3 linked regions of the Notamacropus eugenii genome follow. The protein of the gene in region 3 interacts with the protein of the main gene of each other region in a pairwise test. Links are inferred from orthologs where the notes say so. Each region holds a gene or a part of one and is shown on either strand. Other genes may lie near its edges.

Region 1 (7,945 bases), about 110 Mb from region 3:
GGGAAAGTGAAGGAAAAGGAGGAAGAGGAGGAGGAGGGAGAAGAGAAGGAAGAGGAGAAGGAGGAAGAGGATGAGGAGGGGGAGGAGCCACACCTGGTCTTGGTGGAGAATTCACTCTCCTGGATCTTGGTGAAGGTCTCCTTGGCCTTGTTGGCCACAGTGTCTGCCAGCTCCTTCACCTTCTCCTGGAAATGCTGGAAGTCCTCAGCCACACTGGGGGAAGCCTGGGCTGGGCTGGGGCCTTCTGGGAAGGAAAGCACCCAGAGCACCCCTGAGCACTCAGAACACTTGGAATGCCTGGAATTGGGGGACCTTGGAGACAGGAGTGGGTTAGGGATGGTGTCCTTAGAATCTGGGCTCGGGGAAGGGGGACGTACAACCTAGGGTGTGGGTGGAGATTGGAAGCCAGCCGTCACCTACCCCCCCCCCCCCCCCCAAATACCTGCTACGAAGTACAGAAGGGCAGCCAGCACAGCGAAGGAGAGGAAGGGCTTCATGATGAGGCTGGAGGAGGAGGAGAGCAGAGCTCCCGAGCCCTGGGGATCAGAGAGTGGCCTCGCTGTCACTGTCTCCCCAGTCTGCTCCCTGGGCTCCCTTCATCTTCCCTCTCACTTCTAGCCACCCTGATCTATCTATGTGCTCTAGAACCCTTCTCTTGGGGTTCTCATCTCTGAAACAAGTAAGAGTGGCCCCTAGATGGGCAGTCTAAGACATTCTCAGCGCCCCCACTCACAAAATAGTCCCCTTCTCCCCCTCAGGATCCTTCCCCTCCCACACCGTTTCCCTTTCCTCTAACCTCCCTACCCCCCATGTGACTTCTCCAGGGGCCCCCGCTTCCCCAGAGACCCTCCTCCCTCCTCCCATCCCTCCGCACCTCGGCCAGCACTTACCGAAAAAAACTGGGACCTGACCTGCTGGACTGGGTGTGGGCGAGAGCGCCCCGTCCTGCGGTTATAAGAGGGCTGAGGGAGGGGCGGGGAGCGCAGAAAGCCTCACCTTTCTCGTCCCCTCCCCCTCCTCCCTCCTCCCTCTCAGCCTCCACTTCCCGGTAGGCTCCTGGATTCTCTCCTCCCTGCCCCAAGGCAGGAGGCGAGACCCATCCAAGTCCCTTTGGGATCTCCAAAGACCCAGCTCAGGTCCCCACCTCCCTCCCCGTCCCACACCTACAGCTTTCCAAATCCCCCCCTTTTGACTCCGCCCCCCGCGCTACACTGCACCGAGACTTTCACAGCCCTCCCACTACTCACCCCATACCCATAAAAGTCTTCTGGTCCACGCCGTGCCTGGCGCAGGAAGACCCGAATTCAAATCCACCCTCAGACTTAATTAACCAGCCCTGGGCAAGTCACTTCACACAACTGGCCTCAGTTTCCTCATCTGTCAAATGAGCTGGAGAAGGAAATGGTCAATTCCTCCAGGGGCTCTGCCAAGGAAACCCCCAATGGGGTCTTGGAGAGCTGGACATGACGGAGAAACAACTGAACAATGTCCGGAGAAAAGGAGACGGGGAGAGGGTCAGCCTTAGAATCCCAGGGGAGGGACAGGAAAAATAAGGGAGAGGGGACATCAGAGTCTCCCAATTATCGGCTTCTTCACGCTCATCTTTTTCCTGGGTCATCCCTCATCTCCACAGGGGTTACAGTCCAAATACACCTTCCTTTCTCTCCTCGGGTGCTTCTGGACCCTGAATCTCCTCCCCCCCCCCCCATTCTACCCTCCCCTTTCCTCTCACAGCCCTGGCACTCCCGGTCTCCCACCCTCAGTGCCCTTTCTTCAAGGGGGAATTGGAATTCACGGGGGACCGAGTTTAATAAACACGCCCGGGGAGTGGTCCTCGGACCTTCCCGCAGACCTGGGACTCCCCTCCCCCCAGCTCTCCTTCCCAAGGCCCCTGCTCCCTCTGCCTCGCTCTTTCCTCCATCCGCTCCGCCCTTCAAAGTCCTCATTCTTTCCCCCAAGTTTTCTTCTCTCTTTTTCACCGTCTTTTCGGGGAAAGGGATGACCTTAAAATGGGAGGTCCTGTGCGGACACCTTCCTGTCACCCTCTTCGTGTCCCCCCTCCCTTTTGGGATATCGTCTCCCTCCCTCAGGATGCTTCTCTTCCCAAGTTCTCCCGGGACCACAAGCGTGTACAGACTGATCCCTCCGGGTTCTGGGATGCTCACTCCTCTTCCCCAGCCCACTCAGGGACTGAAACACTCTCTCAGCCCCCATCCCAGCTCTTCCTCCGCTGCCGCCGCTATTCATTCCCCATGCACCCTGGCCCCCCACTCAGTCCCAGCTCCCGGAGCTCCGCGACTCTTTCGGGAGCCAAGGCAGGCAGGGTTACTTGCGGGCATCTCCGGTCGTGGGCGCCCCCCGCGCTGACCGTCACTGACCCCTGGCGGCCCATTGAGGGGGCGGCCGCGAGCCGCGGCTCCGGGTTGGCTGAGCCCTCCTCACCCTCCTACCCTCCTCTAGACCACGGAGGGAAGGGGGTGGGCAGCTCCCAGGCGAAGGACGCTCACCCTGAACGTTGTGGGACTGCACCAGGCTCTTCTGGGCAGACTTGTCATTTTAGTGCACCCCCCCTCTCAGCGCCCCCCCCCCCCCCCATCCCTCCCAGTTTTTGGTCACCCTGTCTGCTCAGAGCCCTTGGTCTGGACTAGCCAGGGTCCTCCACCTAGTCGCTCGCTCATCTCCCACCGCCAGGGCCAGCTTTAGTTCCCTCTTGTTACTCAGATGAGGTTATAAAAATAAAACCCTTTCCTCCTCAACTCTTCCCCACCCCGCCAATTTTTACCTCCCCAGCTTCCCGAAAGCCTTCTCTTTCCGTCCTCTGAAAGCTCCAGCTCCGACGCCAGACATTAAATACGTGCAGCCAAGGAGTGTGACCATCCTTCCTTGGGGTGGGATGGGGCGGTGGAGGAGTCCCTGTTTTTGTGTCTAACAAATAACCCTCTGCCCGGCAAAACCTTCCGGGCACTTGACAGCCTCAAAGGGAGGCCCCGGTTTTAGGAATCAAAGAGATCTGAATTCCAGCCCTAGGCTGACCTTGGCTACTTCTCGGCTCCTCTCCTGGCCTCTTTTTTTCTTGGTAAAATAAGGGAGGTGGGACCGACGGCTCTTCAGAGGAACTGGGGCCCATTGGAAGCGGGGTGGGGAGAGGGGGAAGGGCCCTGGATTCCGATCTCTGTGGGAAATGAGGTTAAATGACTGAAGCCTCAGTTTCCTCCTCAGAAAAATGAGGGGTTGGAGTAAATGACCTTTAACGTCCTTATTAACCCTTCTAAACGCCTGACTACCTTTTGGGTTTGATGGTCTATAGTCTAAAGTATTCCAGGATTCTCACGCAAGTTTTCTTGGGTTCTGTAAAATGCTGGGGTTGAGGGAGAGTCCAGGGGTTTCAGTGGCAAGGGAAACCCCAAACTCTCCTACTCTCACCCCACCAGTGCCTGCTCCCCAGTGAAGGGATCTAGGATTCGGGAGGAGAGGGTTGGGGGATTGTGTCTCTGGAATTTCCAAAGAGGTTGGGGTGGGGCAAGGGGGAGGGCAGAAAAAGTTGAGCAAGCCTCCTAGAGAGGCCTCTTTCCCCTGGCTTCCCCTCTCACCTTGGCTCCTACCAGGATTCCCAGATCTTTATCTCTGGTGACCTCTCCCCTGCTTTCAAATCTAGGGTTCCAGACACCCCAGGGAGACTTCTGCCTTGCTCTAACCCTCATCCCACTTAGCTCAAGCAGGAGCCCTCCAACCAGACTTGTTGGAGAAATGAGAGACCCAGAAGGGTGAGAAAGTCAGTCAAGACCCAGAGAAGGGGGTGCAGGAGGGAGCAGCAGAAAGGGAGAGGGAGAAGAGAGGGAGATCTCAGAAGGAAGAGGGGAGAAGCAGAGAGGAGAGGGGTGTCTATGGGGCCAAAGGAGACCAGAGACCAGAGAGAGGAGTGAAAGAGAGATCTATGCAGAAAGAACAGGGAAGAAGAAAGGGATTATCTTGAGTCACTTCAGTAAAAGCTTGAGACAAAAGGACAGAGAGATCCAGCCCATACTCACCTCCCCCATCATCCCTTCCTGAGGGAGAGATAAACCCAGACTAACATAGAATCAGTGGTTGGTACATAAGCAAGCTTTCACTTTATTGATGGCCTGAGCTTAGACTACATGTGGGCCCCCCCCATCTTCCAAGGGTAGTAGAAGGACTGAGGACCAGAGCCATGGGGTGCACTGACCTGCCCTGTGGATGTGAGGGGGTCGGAAGGTGTCTTGGTGTGAGTGAGAGTGGGATTGGAGCATCCACCTCTCCCCAGGTTGTGGGGGAGGACAGGGGAGGGTCCACTGGTGGGTGATGATAAGAGGGCTCCCAGGTGAGAGACAGGGTGAACTACGGGGGCCTTGTGGAGGAGTCTGGGGAACTTTCAGTTGTCACTGAGGGGCATATCGGGTGTCTCTCCCAGCTTCCCTTTGGGATTGATGGCCTCCTGAACCTTGTCCACCAGCGATGTCCACTGGCGCTGCAGGTCGGTGGCCAGGGGCTGGAACCAGGCCTTCAGGCGGTCGTGAAAGCCCTGCAGTTGAGCCTGCAGCTGGGTTGACTGCTCGTCCACCTTGGCCTTGACCTCCTCCATTCGACTGCGCATCTGATCCAGGTGGTTCTGCAGGCGCTCCCCTGCCAGGGTGCCCAGGTTAGCCATCCTCTTCTTGTTCTGCTCTTGGACACGCTCCAGCAAGGGGACCAGGTCCTTCAGGGAGCCGAACCCTCTCTCCATACCCTCCTTGGCACCAGTCTGGTAGGTGGCCATGCGAGTCTGCAGCTCTTCGTAGTCCCGCCCAATGCGCTTCCTCATCTTCCTCAGGTAGGCAGAGACTCGGTTTCTGACCTCATCTATGTTGTGGTTGACCACAGCATGAAACTCTCGGTGGTACTGGGCAAGGCGGGATCCCACATCCTCCATGTCAGCACTGAGGCGAGCCTGGGCAGCTGTGAGCTCCTTGGCCAGCCGAGCTCGGGTATCCTCAGTCATAGGGGTCAGCATCTGGTCCAACTCAGCCTTGTAATCGTTCAACTCGCTCAGAGTGTCTGTCGTAAGACCCCTGCAGGGAGCAGATGGGAAGCTGGATTGGAACCTGGACATGATGAAGGAACTGAGGTCCCTCAGAGAGGTGAGGGGACTCATCCTGGTCACATAGCTATGAAGGGTCAGAGACAGGAATCAAGCCCAAGGCTCTGATTCTAAATCCACTTCTGTCCACTGCACTAAATTGGGAAGGAGACAGACCTACAGGGGGGCAGTGATGGTGGGCACCCAGAAAAGTGGGAATAGATGGAAAGGAGCAGAGAGAGGAGAATGGGAAGGGGAAACAGATGAACCACTGCCAGAGGCAGAAATACATTGGGTGGACAGGAGTCAGTGAGGCCAGTGGGAGTCAGCTTCCATTTTCCTGGGCAAGTGGAGAAAAGAGATTGGGCCATGGCTGGGGATGGACTACTAGGTCTAAGACTCACAAGGCAGGGTTGGGGGAGACCTGAGTGGCAGAGGTCATGGTGGGGATGGTCCTCACCTCAGGTCCTTGACTATTTGGAAACTGTGCACCTCACTCTGCAGGTCCTCGACCCGGGTTTGTAGCTGGTCTAGGTAGCTCTGGAAGCGGCCCATGGCTGTCTCCCAGGCCCGGGCTGGCTCAGTGTTCCAGAGCTCTGGGTCTGCAACTTGGTCCGCTGAAGAAGTCTTGACATCTTCTCCATGGCAGCCTGAGGGGCAGATAGATGAACAGGAGTGTTGAGACTCCAGGGAACCAGCTCACAGGGGCTGAGTGGGAGCAGAGGATGGGGAGGGCTTAGCCCATCTGGGGAAGAAAGGACAAACAGATCCTAGAAATGGGAGGAGACAGATAGTGGGAGTAAGAACAGACTGAAGGACTAAGGAGGGATAGATTAGAGGGGCTACTGGGGAAAATATTGAAGGGAGAGGGAAAATTGGTACAGGACAGAGGAGAGCAGGAATGGAGAGGTCCAGGGAGGGGGCATACCCGTCAAGAGGGCCGCCAGTGCCCACAATGCCCACAGGAACTTCATTTTCACAGCACAGCTGGTGATTGGTCTGGCTAGGGCAGAGAGAGAAGTCTATCTGAAGTCAGGGACCTCCTCCCTTTATTCTGTCCTCCCCCACTAAGCCCATCAGTCAACTCCCACCAACAGATAATGAGGAAACAGTTGCCTCCTAATTCTGTATTCCTAACCTCCTCTGATTATCTGTTAGGGAGCCAAGGTTTTAGACCTGGGGTATTCTATATCTTAAATCTCTTCCCATTGTTGGTCTTTTCCTCAAATCTGGATTCCAAAGTTCAAGCCCTCCCACTTCCTGAATTTCATTCCTTCCATGCAAAATCCTAATCTCCACTGTCTCGAGAAGACCTAAGGGGTGCCGCTAGATAAACATTAACACGATTCCTAATCAGAGGGGCAAAGGAGATTGCTTAATATCACCCCACCTTGAAAAGAATCCTAGCCTGGAAAGAGGAGAGGACTACCTAGTTTATCTAAACCTCTTGTTTTCTGGAGGAGCAAAAAGTGAGGTTCAACGCTTGGCCAAAGGCATCACCTACAGTAAGCATCCTCAGAGGTAGGCTTTGAACCCTGAGCCTCTGACTCTGGTTTGCTGCCTTGATGTTAGATGTGGACAAGCTGTGATTCCAATCTCAATTTCCCTTCCCAGGATCCTGGGGGTTCTGAGTTGCTGCTTTCCCTCACATCCCCCATTTCTCACTCTCAGGACCCAAGCATTCCTTTCTGCCACCCAGATCTGGGACATCTGTCCTCTGTTCCCGAATCCCTTTAGGTTCTCCTATGTCTGTCTTTCTGTGTCTCTTGCTCAGCCGGCGTCCTGTCTAGAAGTCTGTATCCCCCATAAGGAGTATTACTAGGGCTGCTGCCCTTAGGATCTTGGACCCGCATGATTAAGGAAGCTGTCGGATCCAACCAACCTCCTCATTCTAAGAGGAGAGTGAGTTAAGTGACTAGCCCCAAGTCAGACAGGTATTAAGCAGCAGAGCTGAGATTTGAACCTCAGACCTCTCTCCAAATTCAGCTTTTTCCACCATACTCTGCATTGACATTGAATGTCAAAAGTGGAGCAGCATTCATCCACAGCCCACAGATGGGACCTGCCTGAAGGCAAGGAGCCAACTGAGGCTAGTGCAAGGCTCCCCATGCCTGCATTTCTATTCACCCATCCCCATAGCCTCTGTCCCCTGGGGCTTCTTTACCTTGGCCCTGGCTGCTTAGCTGGGGCTTCCTCTGGGTCAGTCAGAGAGATCCTCTTCTGGGCTGAGTAGGACCCGGGCTCAGGGACCTCTTCCAGTTATAGGGCTTCAACCCCCGCCCCCTCCTCCAGGGCCAGGGCGGACCTGTCACGAGGAGAGCATGGCCCTCCTCCATGCCACCCCCCCCCCCCAGCTTTGGGGGCGGTACACTAGGGCTGCTTCCCCCCTCCTGGGGTTGGGAAGCTGACCTCTCACCGCCTAACCTGACCTGATCCCTGCCCCCCACTTCCAAAGACCGAACAGAGAATGTCCATCCCTGTGCCCCTCTTGGGAGGGCTAAATGGAATTCTAGGGCAGGGGGCAGCCTCCATGAAGGATAGGGGATGCTGATAAAGGAATCTAGACATCCGGATGAAGATAACTTGTCTCAGGGAGGGCCATGGCACTTGGCTGAATTGAGGGGGCAAAGAATGGCCTTCACGACCTGAGTGGGGCACATAAAATGGAGACCAGGACAAGATAACTTAGGGCCAGCTGTAGTCTGTTCTCAGTCCAGAATACTGCAGGAAGGGTGGGGGCCCAGTTCTTTGAAAGGTTGTTTTGTGTGGGGGCAGACAGCTGGATATGAGGGGTCACTGACACACCAGGGGAACACTGGCTTTAGGCCCAGAGGCCCAAGTCTGTTTTTGGAGGAGGGGTGGGGGCAGGGT
Region 2 (6,981 bases), on a different chromosome or scaffold from region 3:
CAGCAAGCAGTGACTAAGCTCTCAGGAGGTGTTCTATTAAGCAATTCAGTTAAATTCCAAAAACATTTCACAGTGTGTTTATTAGATGCCAGGTTTCCCACTATTCCTTGGAGGTTAAAAAAAATACCAAAAGGAAGCATATTTAGGGTCAGGGAGCTCACATTCCACAGATACATTAACAGGTTTTGTTTAGACCTAAAGCCACACAAGGCAAACAGAAGACAAAGAGCCTGCCCACAACAATGCTATCACCTATGCCGTGACATATGTCACCTATGCATCGTGACAGAGGATCTCAGGAGAAGGAAGAAAGGCCAAGTCTTAAAGAAACATAAACTCACCTGAGGTTCCTTGTCCTTTCTCAGGTCAATGGAGAGACTCAGCTCTGAGGCCTGCTGGGTACTAGATGGGAGGCTGATATTTATACAGACCTTTCTGGATTGAGTCTGTTAGCCACTTGGGTTCAAGGTGAGTTGGGGAATTCCCCCTTGAAAATTTTTCCTGACAAATAATAGAAATAGGTGCCCAGAAACACAAATCTGTCATTTTCCCAGATTGCGAAATGTTCAACGTGGGTATTCTTGGAAGGTTTTCCATTTTTACACATTTCTTCTATGCTCAGCAACTGGTCAACTTAACACATCAAACCAGACAAGCACCCACACTGAATGTCATGGATGCATTGTAGTTTGTATAATCCATTATTTCCAACAAATAGAGGGCTGAGTGAATAATTTCATTTTTTAAAACCTGTCATTTTTGTAGCTTTTTAAAAAGCACTTTACACACCGCTCTTATTTGAACTTCACAACAACCTCATGAGGTACATTTAATTTCCATTTTATAGATGGAAAAACTGAGGCCTGGAGATATAAGTGATTGGTCCATAGTGAAACCCACAGATACTTACAAGGTTTAGGCAAAGCTTACTGAATTAAACTTTTATTTGTTTTCTAGTTTTCATTTGTGTCTGAGCCTCAGCTCATGCCATTCCTCCTTTATGGGAAGCTCCCTCCCTCTACCAGTGTCAAACATGACCTCCAGGATGCACCAGTTCTGCCACTTCCTCCATGAGGTCTTCTCTGATTACTCCAGCTCTCCCCTTTCCTAGTCTTTCTAACTTGCCCTGACCTTACCCAACATGGTTGGATCTGTGTGTTGGAGATGACTGTCAGAGACTCTCTCCATATGTAGCTGAAGAAAGAAATATGTTTCAGTCATTTGGCATTTAAACCACCTCAGTGCTGACATGCACTGGCCAGTTAAACCAGTTCTGTGTGTTTCACTCCCAGTGTGTGGGAGAGGGGAAAGAGCTGGTTCTTAGAGATCCAAGAAGTTCATCTGTGGTGGCCTAGCCTTGTCTCTCTCATGTTTCTTGGGCTGTGTGGGTCTCAGGCTTCAATACTGTGGGTGAATAATATGCTTCCTACAGTATGTCTCTTTCCTTCCATCTTTCAAGGTTCTCGTTCAGCTCCTGGATTGCAGAAGAGCTAACACAAACAGTACATGTGAGAGAGGATCTGAGGAATGAGGCCTGATTCTAAGGACTCAGTCAGAGAGCTGCATAAATCCCCCTGCACAACACAGCAGAATCTCCCATTGCCAGGGAAGACAGTTCAGCAGCAAACATTCATGACAGCCATTCATTCTTTGATAATGATCTACTTCTCCCAAGAAGATTGTCAACTCTGTGAGGGTGAGAGAAGTGTCTTATACTTCTACATTATTCTACAATACCTATCACAGTCTTAAGGAATGAAATAGAAAAAAAAGATCAGAGTTGGAGGGAACCTTAAAGGCCACTGAGCCTAGTCCATATAGAAGTCCCTCCCACAAGCTTTCAGGGATGAATGAGAAAGCTTCCCGGGCAGAGGGACTTGCAAATCACAACTATGCCAGCTTTGGGCTTAGAGAGATCTCAGATTGTTACATGAGACCAGACGTCCACTATGGGTAGACAGCACACCAACAAAAGGGTTGGACCTGTTCTCATTGAGTGCAAAAGGGATTCATTGAGGTTGTCTTCTCTCATTTATTCCTCCCTTCCTTTTATCCATCTTTAGGGGCATTTTTCCCTTAGAATTCTGTTCCTTTTATAGCATAATATGGTTGAACAAATTGATAATGATGGAATGTTACCCAAGAAATGAGCAGGTCAGTGATCTTAGAAAAACATGGAAAGACTTGCATGCAGTAATGAAGAAGGAAATGATCTGAACCAAGAGAACACTGTATACAGTCACAGCAATACTGTTTCAAGAACGACTCTGAGTGGACGTTTCTGCCCCCTGCTTCTTCTGCTCAAGGGTCATCAGTCATCCCTTTAATAATACATTCTAAAGTTTTGTTAGGGATTGAAGACCCACATGGTCTAAAGAACGCCCTCTCTTCCTTTTGATGAACATATGCACAGTGTTCGCCCTGGTCCAATACTCCTCTTATTTGAACTTTCAAAACCATCCCAACTCTGTTCTTGCAGTATTCCACGATATAGTTCAAGAAAGCCTAGAGCCCCTAGACACTCTCTCTCTTTATATATTAATTGGGTGATGTTCCCATTATTAATGATTATTATATTATATTGTTATTGTAACTGATTATAATCATGTATCTTCTGCCCTTGCCAGTCCACAGACCATACTTGTCAGCAGAAAACACAACAAAAAAGTATTTAAACATCTCTCTTTTCTCTCTGCCATCAGTTCTCATTTTGCTTTTTCATATCCACCCTAAGACATGGTCATATTCTTTCTTTGATTCTCAACCTCCTGTTTTTCTCAAAAGAAAGACTTCTTTCTGGTTTGATTAGATAATGATGTGGAAACACCATAATGGAGGAGGCACTTGTGCTGTTTTAGAATGTCACAAGACCCCTGATTGGCCTGTGTGTCTCTTCAATCCCTTAGTGGTTATTCCAGGTTGATCAGACAACTCATTCCAATAATTCTCTTGTTACCTATCTTGGTATATTAGAATAAAATATCACCATGACCCTTACTTAACATTTTTAACTTAACTCATGGGGTTAAAATTTTATTTTATTTCTTCTTTTCCTTCTTAAACAAGTTCCAATCGAATAAGTAGAGTACTCAGGTATGGCTGAAACATATGTTTCTTTTTTCAAGTACATATGGAGAGAGTCCTTGACAGTAATCTCTGACACACAGATCCAGCCATGCTGGGTCAACTCAGTGCAAGTTAGAAAGACTAGAAAAGGGGAGGGCTCCTGTAGTCTGGAGTAATTAGAGAAGATGTCATGGAGGAAGTGGCAGATCTGGTGCATCCTGGAGGTCATGTTTGACACTGGTAGAGGGAGGGAGCTTCCCATAAAGGAGGAATGGCATGAGCTGAGGCTCAGACACAAATGAAAACTAGAAAACAAATAAAAGTTTAATTCAGTAAGCTTTGCCTAAACCTTGTAAGTATCTGTGGGTTTCACTATGGGCCAATCACTTATATCTCCAGGCCTCAGTTTCTCCATCTATAAAATGGAAATTAAATGTACCTCATGAGGTTTTTGTGAAGTTCAAATAAGAGGGATGTGTAAAGTGCTTTTTAAAAAGCTACAAAAATGACAGTTTTTTAAAAAATGAAATTATTCCCCCAGCCCTCTATAGATTGGAAATAATGGGTTACAGAGACTGCAATGCATCCATGACATTCAGTGTGGGTGCTTGTCTGGTTTGATGTGTTAAGGTGACCAGTTGCTGAGCATAGAAGAAATCTGTAAAAAAAGGAAAACCTCCCAAGAATACCCATGTTGAACATTTCGCAATCTGGGAAAATGACAGATTTGTGTTTCTGGGCACCTATTTCTATTATTTGTCAGGAAAAATTTTCAAGGGGGAATTCCCCAACTCACCTTGAACCCAAGTGGCTAAAATACTCAATCCAGAAAACTTTGTATAAATATCAGCCTCCTCTCTAATACCCCACAGGCCTCAGAGCTGAGTCTCTCCATTGACCTGAGAAAGGACAAGGAACCTCAGGTGAGTTCATGTTTCTTTAAGACTTGGCCTTTCTTCCTCCTCCTGAGATCCTCTGCCACGATGCATACATGACATATGTCACGGCATAGGTGATAGCATTGCTGTGGGCAGGCTCTTTGCCTTCTGTTTGCTTTGTGTGGCTTTAGGTCTAAACAAAACCTGTTAATGTATCTGTGGAATGTGAGCTCCCTGACCCTAAATGTGCTTCCTTTTGGTTTTTTTTTAATCACCAAGGAATAGTGGAAAACCTGGCATCTAATAAACACACTGTGAAATGTTTTTTGAATTTAATTGAATTGTTTAATAGAATACCTCCTGAGAGCTTAGTCACTGCTTGCTGACTCCCTGACCTTTAGAGGGGAATGACAAAATTGGGAGCAGCTCCCAAAAGCTGAGTGGTACCCTCTCCATGCTAAGGGAACCCAGTAGGGTTTTCCATGGAGCTGATGGAACCCAGTTAGAATGGAAGGGTTATTCTCAATCCAAGTACCTTTGGATATTTCAAACGTGTCCTTCCAAAAAGGAAAGACTTCATGAAAGCAAAGGTAAATGTGGAGACAGAAAAATGAATATAAAAAAGGAAAACCAACAGGGATTCATGAGCATTGGCAGGTCTCTGAGCATCCATCTTCTTTCTACTTGCAGCCTTCCAGCAGCAATGAAGCTCCTCACAGGCCTCTTTCTCTTGTCCTTGGTCCTGTGTGTCAACAGTCAGGGTTGGTTTCGAGAAACTGCGGACTTCCTTAATCAGGCTCGTCTAGGTAAGGCCTCTTCAAGAGCATATCTCCTTTGTTCGAGTTGCTTTGCACGAAGCAGTGAATGATAAGAGGAGGAAGATTGTTTTATTCACAGAAGGCAGATACCTGGAAGGTAGAAGGGCAGGTGGTAGCAGATGCAGCCAGAAATAGAATCTGGTACCTGAGCAGTGGCAAAGGCAGGGCTGGTGGGTGTGGACCTTTCCCTCCAATGGAAAGAGAGATGCTTTAGCTGCATTGGTGAGCCCCCCATGGCTATGGAACAGGAAAGAATCTTTGGCTCAGTTCAGGATGAAAGTTGCTATTCTGAATCTTATCTGAAAGAAATGGAGCAGTAATAAAGGAGGAGCTAAAATATGTTTTCAGTGGAAAATTCTGTTTTAGAACCCATTGTTTTATATTTTAAGCATTGATAATGTAGTGAAGGGACACTTATTTTATAAGGCGCATCTCATTTCCATTGGGGACCAGTGGCTGAGGAGATGCTTTCCCATGGCATCCATTTAAGAAATCTTGAACCTGGGGATGATGTTTCTGTCTTCACTAGAGCCAGATCCATGTTGCTCCTTATGCCTCTTGCCTCTTCCCTTTCTAGGTGCTGGGGACATGTGGAGGGCCTACAGGGACATGCGTGAAGCCAATTTTAAAAATTCAGACAAATACTTCCATGCTCGTGGGAACTATGATGCTGCTAAGAGAGGACCTGGGGGCGTCTGGGCAGCTGAAGTGCTCAGGTAAGAATGTTGGAATGATCCTGAAAGTGGAGCAGATCTGGCCTGTCTGGGGACTCTCAGAGGCCTAGGAAGGCCCATGGATGAACTCACTGCAGACCCTGCAGGTGCTCCTCCTTCTCTGTTTCCCATAGTGTCCAGAGCAGGGTCCTGAGCAGTAGCCATCAGTCTGGTCTGTCCCACAGAGGAAGCAGCAGGGCCTGATGTGTTGTCAGTATTGACCCTGTATCAGATGAAAGACAGACTTCAGAGAGGATTTGACTTTTTTTTAAGCATTTTTTTATTGGGAGTTATTCTGAACTTGTGTGACACCATCAAACAGGAATATTTCCATATATAAAAAATAACAAAATAGAAAACTTTATATGTCACTGTGAATCTCTGTTGTCACCACGTTTTAAAAGCATATTATTCATTCATTACATTAGTCCCAAAGCTGTCCTGGTTGTCAGCGCCTTCCCATACACTTCCTTCTGGTCCCTCCTGGGCTCTCTGAAAGGCTTCATTGATACTGTTTTTTCTTTTTCTTTTCTTTTCATTCATTTCAGGTCTTCTTCTTTCAAAGTCTCTTCCCTGACAATATTTTAATGAAAACTTTCCTTCATAGGAAATTAGTAATGTCAAGCTAAGTTGGTGCACACATTTGACCTGCTGAGAGTGTATACCTCACCTTTCCCCTCCAGTTCATTAGCTTCCCATCAAGATGAGAGAAGCACATTTCCTCACTGATCTTCTGAAGTTTTGTGTTCATTGAGTTGAGATGAGTCCCTAGGTTTTCAAAGTTGTTTCTCTTTATGATGTGATATCCACTGAATAAATGGTTTCCTGGTTTATTCACTTTGTACATTATTCACCAGGTAGAGTTCCACGTTGCTTTCCAGAATGGCTGTACCAATTCACAGCTCCATCTGCAGTGAACTAGTCTGTCTATCCTCTTATGGCCCAGCCCAGGATGTTCATTTTCTTTTTTGGTTATCTTTTCCAGTCTGATGTAGATGAGGTGGCACTTTAAAATTGTTTTCATTTATCTTTCTCTTACTATTAGTGATTTGGAACATTTTTATATGACTACTGTTATCTTACCTTTCTTCTTCTGACAATTTCCCATTCATGCCATTTGAACAAGGCCTTTTGTTCTTACGTCTTTGAATCATTTCTGCAGTTATATTGGCCATCAATGACTTTTATGAAGGAACTTGCCAAGAAGACTTTTTTTCAGTTCACTGTTTCTCTTTTAATTTAACTTCATCCCTTCTGTTTGTGCAAAGCTGTTCAATTCTTTACAATTGAAATAGTCTATTTTTACCTCTCGTGATTGTCTCTACTGATTTGTGCAAGAAGTCTTTTCCTCTTCATTATAAAAGGCATCCCCTTCCTTCTTCCTCTAATTTCTTGATGATTTGAACTTCTATATCCATTTGGAACTTGCTGTGGTATGTGGTGTTCATCTAGATCCAATGTCTGCCCAACTGCTTTCCAGTTTTTCCAATAGTTTTTGTTAAATAG
Region 3 (7,481 bases):
CCATCATCATCATCACTAGCTGTGAGACCCTGGGCAAGTCACTTCACTGCTGCCTGCCTCAGTTTCCCCATCTATAAAATAGGGATCATAATAGCACCTACTTCCCAGGGCTGTTGTGAGGGTCAAATGAGATAATAATTGTAAATTGCTTAGCGTAGTGCCTGGCACATAGTAAGTACCATATCTTGTTAGCGATCATTATCATTTGTGTCAGTCAACTAGTCACAAAGCACAGATCTGCCTGTGTCACTCTCTTGCTTGAAAAGCATCCATGGCTCCTCATCGCTTTCAGTATGAAAATGTCAGCTCTCAAGCGACTTCCCAAGCATCCGATCTATCTTTCTGACCTCACTTTATGATACTACTCTTTCCCACATTCCACATCCCAGACAAACAAGAGCTACTGGATGCTTCTCACAATGTCTCTCTGCCATCTCTAGACCTAAGCTGTTGCCTGCACCTAGAACTCCCCCGCCATCTGCCTCTTTGGAGGCCCTAACTCCCTCCCCCTGGGACCACCTCACAGAGACATAGTCTTATTTCTCCAAGAGTTAGTGCCCTACCACCCCTACTCCCAAACCACTCTGTTTATCTGGTATAACCCCATGTATTGTATTTACTTATCTGAGTTTGTTTGTTTCCTCCCAATAGAATCAAGGTTCTTTGAGGAAAGGGACTATTTTTCTCTTTGTATTCCCAGAGCCCAGGCTCTTGTCTGGCACTTAGTAGGTGCTTGTTGAATTGAAGTGAGTTGAATTGCTTCCCAAATGAAAAATAGGTATTGGGGACAAGGAAAGTGAATCCCTGGGCAGACAGTACTCAGGAAGAGTCTGACCCACCCTGTCTGATACCCCTGGTGCATCGTTCCTGCTATGGTTTCTCCTAACTTAAGTCTCCTTTTCTTAAGCTTAAAAAAATGCCCAAAAGAGGAAGCTGGCTTTGGAGAAGCCTTGGGGGAAGGAAGGTGAGGAGGCAATTTATCTAAGTCTGCCAGGCCAGGTAAAATCCAGGAGCAGGAAGCCATCCCTGGGGACTCTGGGGTCCAGCAGTCACTAATTCTCCCTATTCACCCCTTTGGGGAAAGTGAGGACCCAGTAGCTTCCTCCCCTGGCACCACAGGACAGACTGTACTTTGAGCCCACCCAGAACAAAGCATGGTATCCCATGGTGTCCAGTCCTTCCCTGAGCTTGGACTTTCTAGGTTTCTGTACCCTGGGCAGCAAACCCCTCAGAGGAGCTTTTAGTCCTGAGTACCAGCCAGTCATTCTTTCTACTTACTCCAGTTCTTTGCCCATAGCAGAGGACTCAAACTGAGACACATATTCCTTTCCAGTGTCCTTGACGGTATTCAGGTAGACAGTTAAGAGATCCTTCATCTGCTCCAAGGGTGTCTGAGGTTCATCATGCTGCCAGAAATAGTTGGCCTGGCTCCCTTGAGGAGAGGAAGAAGACAGAACCAAGTCATTACCACCCTCTGCCTGACTGTCCTTTCTCAGGGGGTGCCAGAGAGAAGGAGTTTCTGAGCTAGGAGTGAGCAAAGACAGCATATGGGAGGGGACAGTTGTCTAGCTCAGCCCAGGGTCAATGAGAGCAAATTTTGTGTTAAGTGTTCCTGCCACCCACCTTCTCCCAATCCCATCTAGTGTAATCTGAATAAAGGGGGAGGAAGGTTCCTGACTGACTGGGGATCTGGGGCTTGGTGTTGGCCCCTACCTGTGAGGAAGAGCAGGGAGAGGCTCAAAATCACAGCTCTCATCTTGAGGACTTCTTCCTATGACCTGTGGAGAGAGGAGAGAGGTTTAAATCGTTGAGAAGGCAAGGCTAATCACATAGGCTGAGGAAAGAAGCCTGGCTTTCTGCTTACTCATCGATAAAATGAAGGGGTCCTGTCCAAACCTGGATCTATATAATACCTAGTGTCCTTCCCTACATTTACTGCATCCCTTTCTCCTGCTAGGTCAGAGACATCTGGAGGTCAGCCAATCTCAGAGGCTTGGCCAAGCTTATCCCAGACAAGCCCAGTCAAGTGGCCAGCGTTGGCTTGGTAGATCTTACCTGAATGCTCTCTCCAGGTGATCTATCAGGGGTGGTAGTTCTCCTCAGGAGCTGGTATTTATATTCCCAATGAGGGCTGGGCTAAAGCAGGGAGATAAGGTAAACCTTCAGAAGGACATGTGGAACTTAGAGTTCAAGGGTCAAACTTGTCTCTCCTCCCCCGCTCCCCTGAAATCCTAGGTCTAAAGCAGGTAGGCAAACAGAAAGTGGGGGCAGTGATTGCCCAAGGGGGACCTAGCTCTGGCTCTGCAATCCTGGATGGTCTACTGGGCAAGGGATAGGCTGGAGTCAGACAAGAAAAACCCCATGCAGAGAGTAATCTCATTCTTGTAAAGCTAGCTGGGGTTAGGGGCCAGCATAGCCAGCATAGCCGAGGCCAGGGTCTTCAGCCTCCTTCAGCTTCAGCCTCCAGGCCACATGTGGCCCTTTAGGTCCTCAAGTCTTTAGGTCCCTTTGACTGAATCCAAACTTCACTGAACGAATCCCCTTAATAAAAGGATTTGTTCTGTAAAACTTGGACTCAATCAGAAGAACACACCTGAGGACCTGGCAGGTCACATGTGGACTCCAGGTCGCTGGTTCCTCACCCCAGACCTAGGTTATGCTGGCCCCACATTTGCTCCTTTGGGTCCTAACCCTCCCCTCCAAAACCTTGGGTGAGAAGAAAGAAAGACTCCATCATACTTCCCTTGGCTGGTCTCATTACCCACTTCACCTTGGGCCCAGAAGGGAGGGACTCACACATAGAATGGGGGAGGGGGAATTGGGAGGTAAGAGGGACTCCCTGCCTGGCTTCCCACAAAGGCTCAGAAGGGATCACTTGTGCTGACCCTCCCCCTTCCCTCTTTAAGGAGCAGGAAAGTGCAAGAAGCAAGCTTTTTGTCTCCACACTTCTTATCTGTTCCACCCCCCAACATCCGGAAAAGTGAAGAATGGCACACATGGTCTCTGAAGTCAGGGGAAGCTGTAGCAGTGATTTCTGTAATGGTCTCTCTCTACTAACCCAGGCTGTTCCCAAACCTGCCTCAAGCTCCTCTTCCAGAAAGATTCCACCGGCTGACTCATTGAACTCTGACTCATAGGTCAGCTATTAACTAGGACTGACTTGTCCATAGCTGTGTGAGACTAGAAGTACATCACTTCACCAAGGCCTCAGTTTCCTCATCTGTACTATGGGAAAAGTCATACACATAATACCCAATGAAGATTAACAAAGATATCGTGTATGTAATGTGCAGCAGCATCATTATTCTTCAGTTTGATAAATGACCAAAGGCTTGGATGTCATGGCACCTGAAGGCTTCAATTTCTTGGCAATTACAAGGCAATCAGTAAAATATTTAGTGGGGACTGATCTAGCTCCAAATGGATGACCCTGTGGTTTAGTATAGTATGGCACACTATCACCCATTGTTACCTGTCTCGAGTTCTCTGTTGATTTGCAAATGTTTTTCTCATGGACTGATTCCAACTTAGATAGAAGGTATGGATTGTATCTTCACTCCTCTGTGTCTGCCCTAATACCTGTTACTGAACTTTGTACACAACAGGTAACTTAATGGTATTGAAAGCTGCTTGCACTACTGAATGCTGGAGGAAACAATTTCCCACTGGGATTGTAGAGGATGAGTAGGAAAACCCCTTAGTTTGGAATCCAGGAGAACTACTACCTGCTTTTTAATTTACTACTCATGTGACCTTCAGAAAAATCATTTATGCTCTCTGGGCCTCAGTTTCTTAACCTTAAAATGTCAATCAGAATACCTGTCATCCACCTCGCAAGGTTTCTGGGAAGATCAAATGGGATAGTATATGTAGCTATGGGTGTAACCTAGACTTCCAGCCTGAGAATTTGTCCAACACATTCCTCTTTGGTGGCAGGATTCACGCTTAATGCTCTGTACCTACAAGAAAGTTCTCTGGAGGCAAGAAGCTGCCATGTAGAGGAAGCAGTCAGTGCCTCAAGCAGGTCAGCTTTTCCCCAAATTCTTCATCTCTTCCTTCAGGGGCCTTTCCCTGAGGAGAACCTACAACCATGGGTCTAGAAGGCAAAATCCAGAAAAAGCAACATCTCCTCTCCCAGTTTCTGGCCAACTCCAATCCCTCCCACAGGCATAGACCATCAAGTAATCACGCTCTTCATCAAGGAGGAAAGTCTTGATGCAAACACATTATCTCTGGGTTTACATACAAATAACAAAATCTCAGAAATGGAAGGAACCTTGGAAGTCTTTGAATTCAACCTCAGACAAGTGGTTGTAGCCTCTGCTAGAATTCTAATGACAGGGAGCTCACTCTCTGCCAAGATAACCCATTTCACTGGCCAGCTTTCATTGCTAGGGAGTTCCTCCTTATATGGGGTGTCCAGGTGTTCCAAAAAAAAAATTCTTAAACTACTAAAGATTGAAACACTTGCATTGGTGCATTGCGCTAATGCTCTGGGAATGTCCTACGTTAAGCTAAAATCTGCTTCCCTGCACTGTACGCTCTACCTTCTGGGGCCAAGCAGGACCAATCTCATTTCTGTGGGGCAGCCCTCTGAATAGCTTGAAAACAGCTACCACATTCTACCTGAAGAAACCTCCTCTCCTCCAGGTGAAACATTCTCGGTTCTTTCCCACATTCCTTCCCCCTTCCTCTGACCCTCAGGCCTGCTCCCTATCCTGTGAACACAGGCTCAGTTTTCATTGTCTCTCCTGTAATGTGTTTATATCCAGAGCAAAACCAGAAGATCCACTCTAGCCCCCAGCTGCCCTGGGAGGGAAAGCTGATTCCTCTGGACACTCCCATAGATGTCCATGGTCAGAACAACTCCATCCAGGAGCTTCATGTCAGCACTCATGCTTATCTGTGCTAAGTGACTAGGGGTAAGGGTTAGATGAGTGGAAGTCTTAGCTCAGATAAACAACTGGGGGAAAACATGTGACAGTATATAGTTGTGGGTGTTTGTCCTTTGTTCTCGAAGAGGACCATGACATCAGGCAGGTGATGTCATGACAGGCAGGCTGTGCAAAGTCACTGGCCTCACTCTCTACTCCAGAACCATCTGGGTCCAATGGCAAGATAAAGATCAAGGCTGAATGGAGATGGTTCCCCAACGTAGGGTAGGAAAGATGGAGAAGGAAAGAAGGAATGCAGGGATAGTTGGGAGAAGTTGGTGGAAGGAAAGTTTGGAAGATAGGAACTCATTAGGATCATAAATATGGAGGGAGCATAGCCCAGGTCCCTAACTCTTTTTCCTACGATCCTCTAATTTACAAAAATAGGACAGCTAGGTGGCACAGTGGATAGAACACCAGGTCTGGAGTAAGGAAGACTCATCTTCATGAGTTCAAATCTGACCTCAGCCACTCACTAGCTATGTGACCCTGGGCAAGTCACTCAACCCTATTTGCCTCAGTTTCCTCATCTATAAAATGAATTGGAGGAGGAAATGGCAAACCACTCTAGTATCTCTGCCAAGAAAACCCCAAATGGGATCACAGAATCAGACATGACTAAACAACAACAAGAATTTTACAAATGAGGAAACAAGCCCAGGGAAAACGAGTGTCACACAGTGAGCATTTGACTCCAAGAACCAGGGCTTTTTTCCACTGTACCATGATGACCAGGGGGTGTGCAACCAGAACACTGCACAGTACTTTTAGCCACAGACATGCTATTCGTACAAGTCTGGAGATACTTTTTCTTTAACATCAATTCATAGCACTGGGAGGAATTTTACTGAACATATAATGACTAGATCAGGGGTGGGGAACCTGCAGCCTCAAGGGCACATGTGGCCCTCTAGGTCCTCAAATGTGGCACTTTGAATCCAAACTTCACAGAACAAATCCCCTTAAAAAAAGGATTGGTTCTGTAAAACTTGGACTCAGTCAAAGGGTCACACCCAAGGCCTTGAGGCCACAGGTCCTCCACCCCTCAACTATATTCTAGTCCAATCCCTTTTTATATATGACAAAACTGAGGCCCAGGAAAGCGATTTAATGTTAGACCCAGGTCATACTGATATATGTGTGTATATATGTTTATATGTTGTATATATAATATAGACAATATATTATGTATATGTATATTATATATATGTATGTATACACATATATACAATATACCTATTCCTAGATTTGCAGTAGAATGTCATATATAAACATATATATTATATATATGTATACAACATATGTATTTATATATCTGTCATCTGTTACAGATCTGGGAGTAAGCTTCTAAACCCAACATGGTATAATTGTCATCTTACCATACTGCTTCTCAGTTCAGTAGCTTGCTGTTATATACCACCCTTTTCCCGCCCCTTCCCCCTTCCCCGGCCCACCCATGACCTTCCTTGGGTTCTCAACAGGTGCTGGAGCAAGCATCAGCAGCAACCTTTAAGGAAATGGATACCCAGCTGATAGGCTGACAACCAGATGACTCATGGAGTAATCTGTTGCTTAAGAATACCTCCCTTTGGGGCAGCTGGGTAGAGCACTGGCCCTGGAGTCAGGAGGACTGAGTTCAAATCTGACCTCAGACACTGGACACCTACTAGCTGTGTGACCTTGGGCAAGTCACTTAACTCCAATTGCCTTGCCTTGCCTTCCCCCCTCCAAAAAAAAATACTCCTCTCTTCCCCAATGTATATTCCATAGATTAGAGATTCATTTGGATGAACAAATTCCATCAAAAATAGAAATCCCGTTGTATTCTCTGCAGGTCAAATGCACCAGGGCTGTTTTTCTAAGTTCTGGGCACCACATTTTAAGATGGAAATTGAGCAACTACAAAGAATTTAGAGGAGGTTACCAAGATGGAGAGCTCAGGAAACGAACGAACTCCAGTTGTTTAGCTTTAAAATTCAGGAGACTACACTGATAGCTTTCCAAGATCTGAAGGTTTGTGTTTTGGAAGGGATTTAAATCTACTCTTCTACATTTAATAGGCTGCCTTCTGAAATACGGAGCTTACTCTTTCACTGAAAATGTTTTAACATAGGCTAGATGAGTATTCATGATTCTGATAGGGCTAACGTTACTTATCTTCTGAGGTCTAATCAAGGACACTGTTCTTGGGAGAAAGGACCACATAGTTTCAGATAATCTCACAGAATGAATGGGTACAGGGAGTGGGGCAGATTTTGATCAGTTACAGAAGGAAATTGTGTGTAGAGGCATTTTTTAAGGCCAAGGATTTAAGCCATAGCAGATTAGGAGTCACAGAGGTGGGGGGAGGACTCTAAGTAGCTCCTGAGCACCAGCTATCTGGGGTCAGGGAAGAAGGGGTATTGGAGATGGAATTGGGATGGAGAATGGGAGGTAGATGGTCACAAAGAGCAAGATTTACTTCCCTGTCAGCTTTATTCAAGTCCTGACAATGTAGAGGCTGGGGTCCCAGGCCAGGCCCCCAAGCGGGCTTTGTTCTACCCACAA

The links.
Region 1: the proteins of APOA1 (region 3) and APOC1 interact in a two-hybrid assay, tested with the Homo sapiens proteins (2 studies listed by BioGRID, with this or other methods). The link is inferred for Notamacropus eugenii from reciprocal best matches to the Homo sapiens genes APOA1 and APOC1.
Region 2: the proteins of APOA1 (region 3) and serum amyloid A protein interact in a two-hybrid assay, tested with the Homo sapiens proteins (2 studies listed by BioGRID, with this or other methods). The link is inferred for Notamacropus eugenii from reciprocal best matches to the Homo sapiens genes APOA1 and SAA2.

The regions. Positions count from the first base shown.
Region 1 is NC_092876.1:27,410,191-27,418,135, reverse strand, and holds the start of APOC1 (apolipoprotein C-I), read right to left. Parts: upstream 3,008-7,945; 5' UTR 2,783-3,007; intron 2,580-2,782; exon of another isoform or gene 2,330-2,579; intron 1,424-2,329; exon of another isoform or gene 1,390-1,423; 5' UTR 1,259-1,389; coding exon 1,248-1,258; intron 946-1,247; coding exon 891-945; intron 537-890; coding exon 443-536; intron 245-442; coding exon 94-244; intron 1-93. Other genes in the region: APOE (apolipoprotein E), read right to left, coding at 4,391-5,066, 5,535-5,724, 6,003-6,048. UniProt on the Homo sapiens protein: Inhibitor of lipoprotein binding to the low density lipoprotein (LDL) receptor, LDL receptor-related protein, and very low density lipoprotein (VLDL) receptor.
Region 2 is NC_092877.1:36,342,332-36,349,312, reverse strand, and holds the start of serum amyloid A protein, read left to right. Parts: upstream 1-3,938; 5' UTR 3,939-3,989; intron 3,990-4,634; 5' UTR 4,635-4,647; coding exon 4,648-4,750; intron 4,751-5,339; coding exon 5,340-5,478; intron 5,479-6,981.
Region 3 is NC_092876.1:135,302,849-135,310,329, reverse strand, and holds the start of APOA1 (apolipoprotein A-I), read right to left. Parts: upstream 3,067-7,481; 5' UTR 2,997-3,066; intron 2,795-2,996; exon of another isoform or gene 2,740-2,794; intron 2,137-2,739; 5' UTR 2,056-2,136; intron 1,779-2,055; 5' UTR 1,757-1,778; coding exon 1,714-1,756; intron 1,433-1,713; coding exon 1,279-1,432; intron 1-1,278. UniProt on the Homo sapiens protein: Participates in the reverse transport of cholesterol from tissues to the liver for excretion by promoting cholesterol efflux from tissues and by acting as a cofactor for the lecithin cholesterol acyltransferase (LCAT).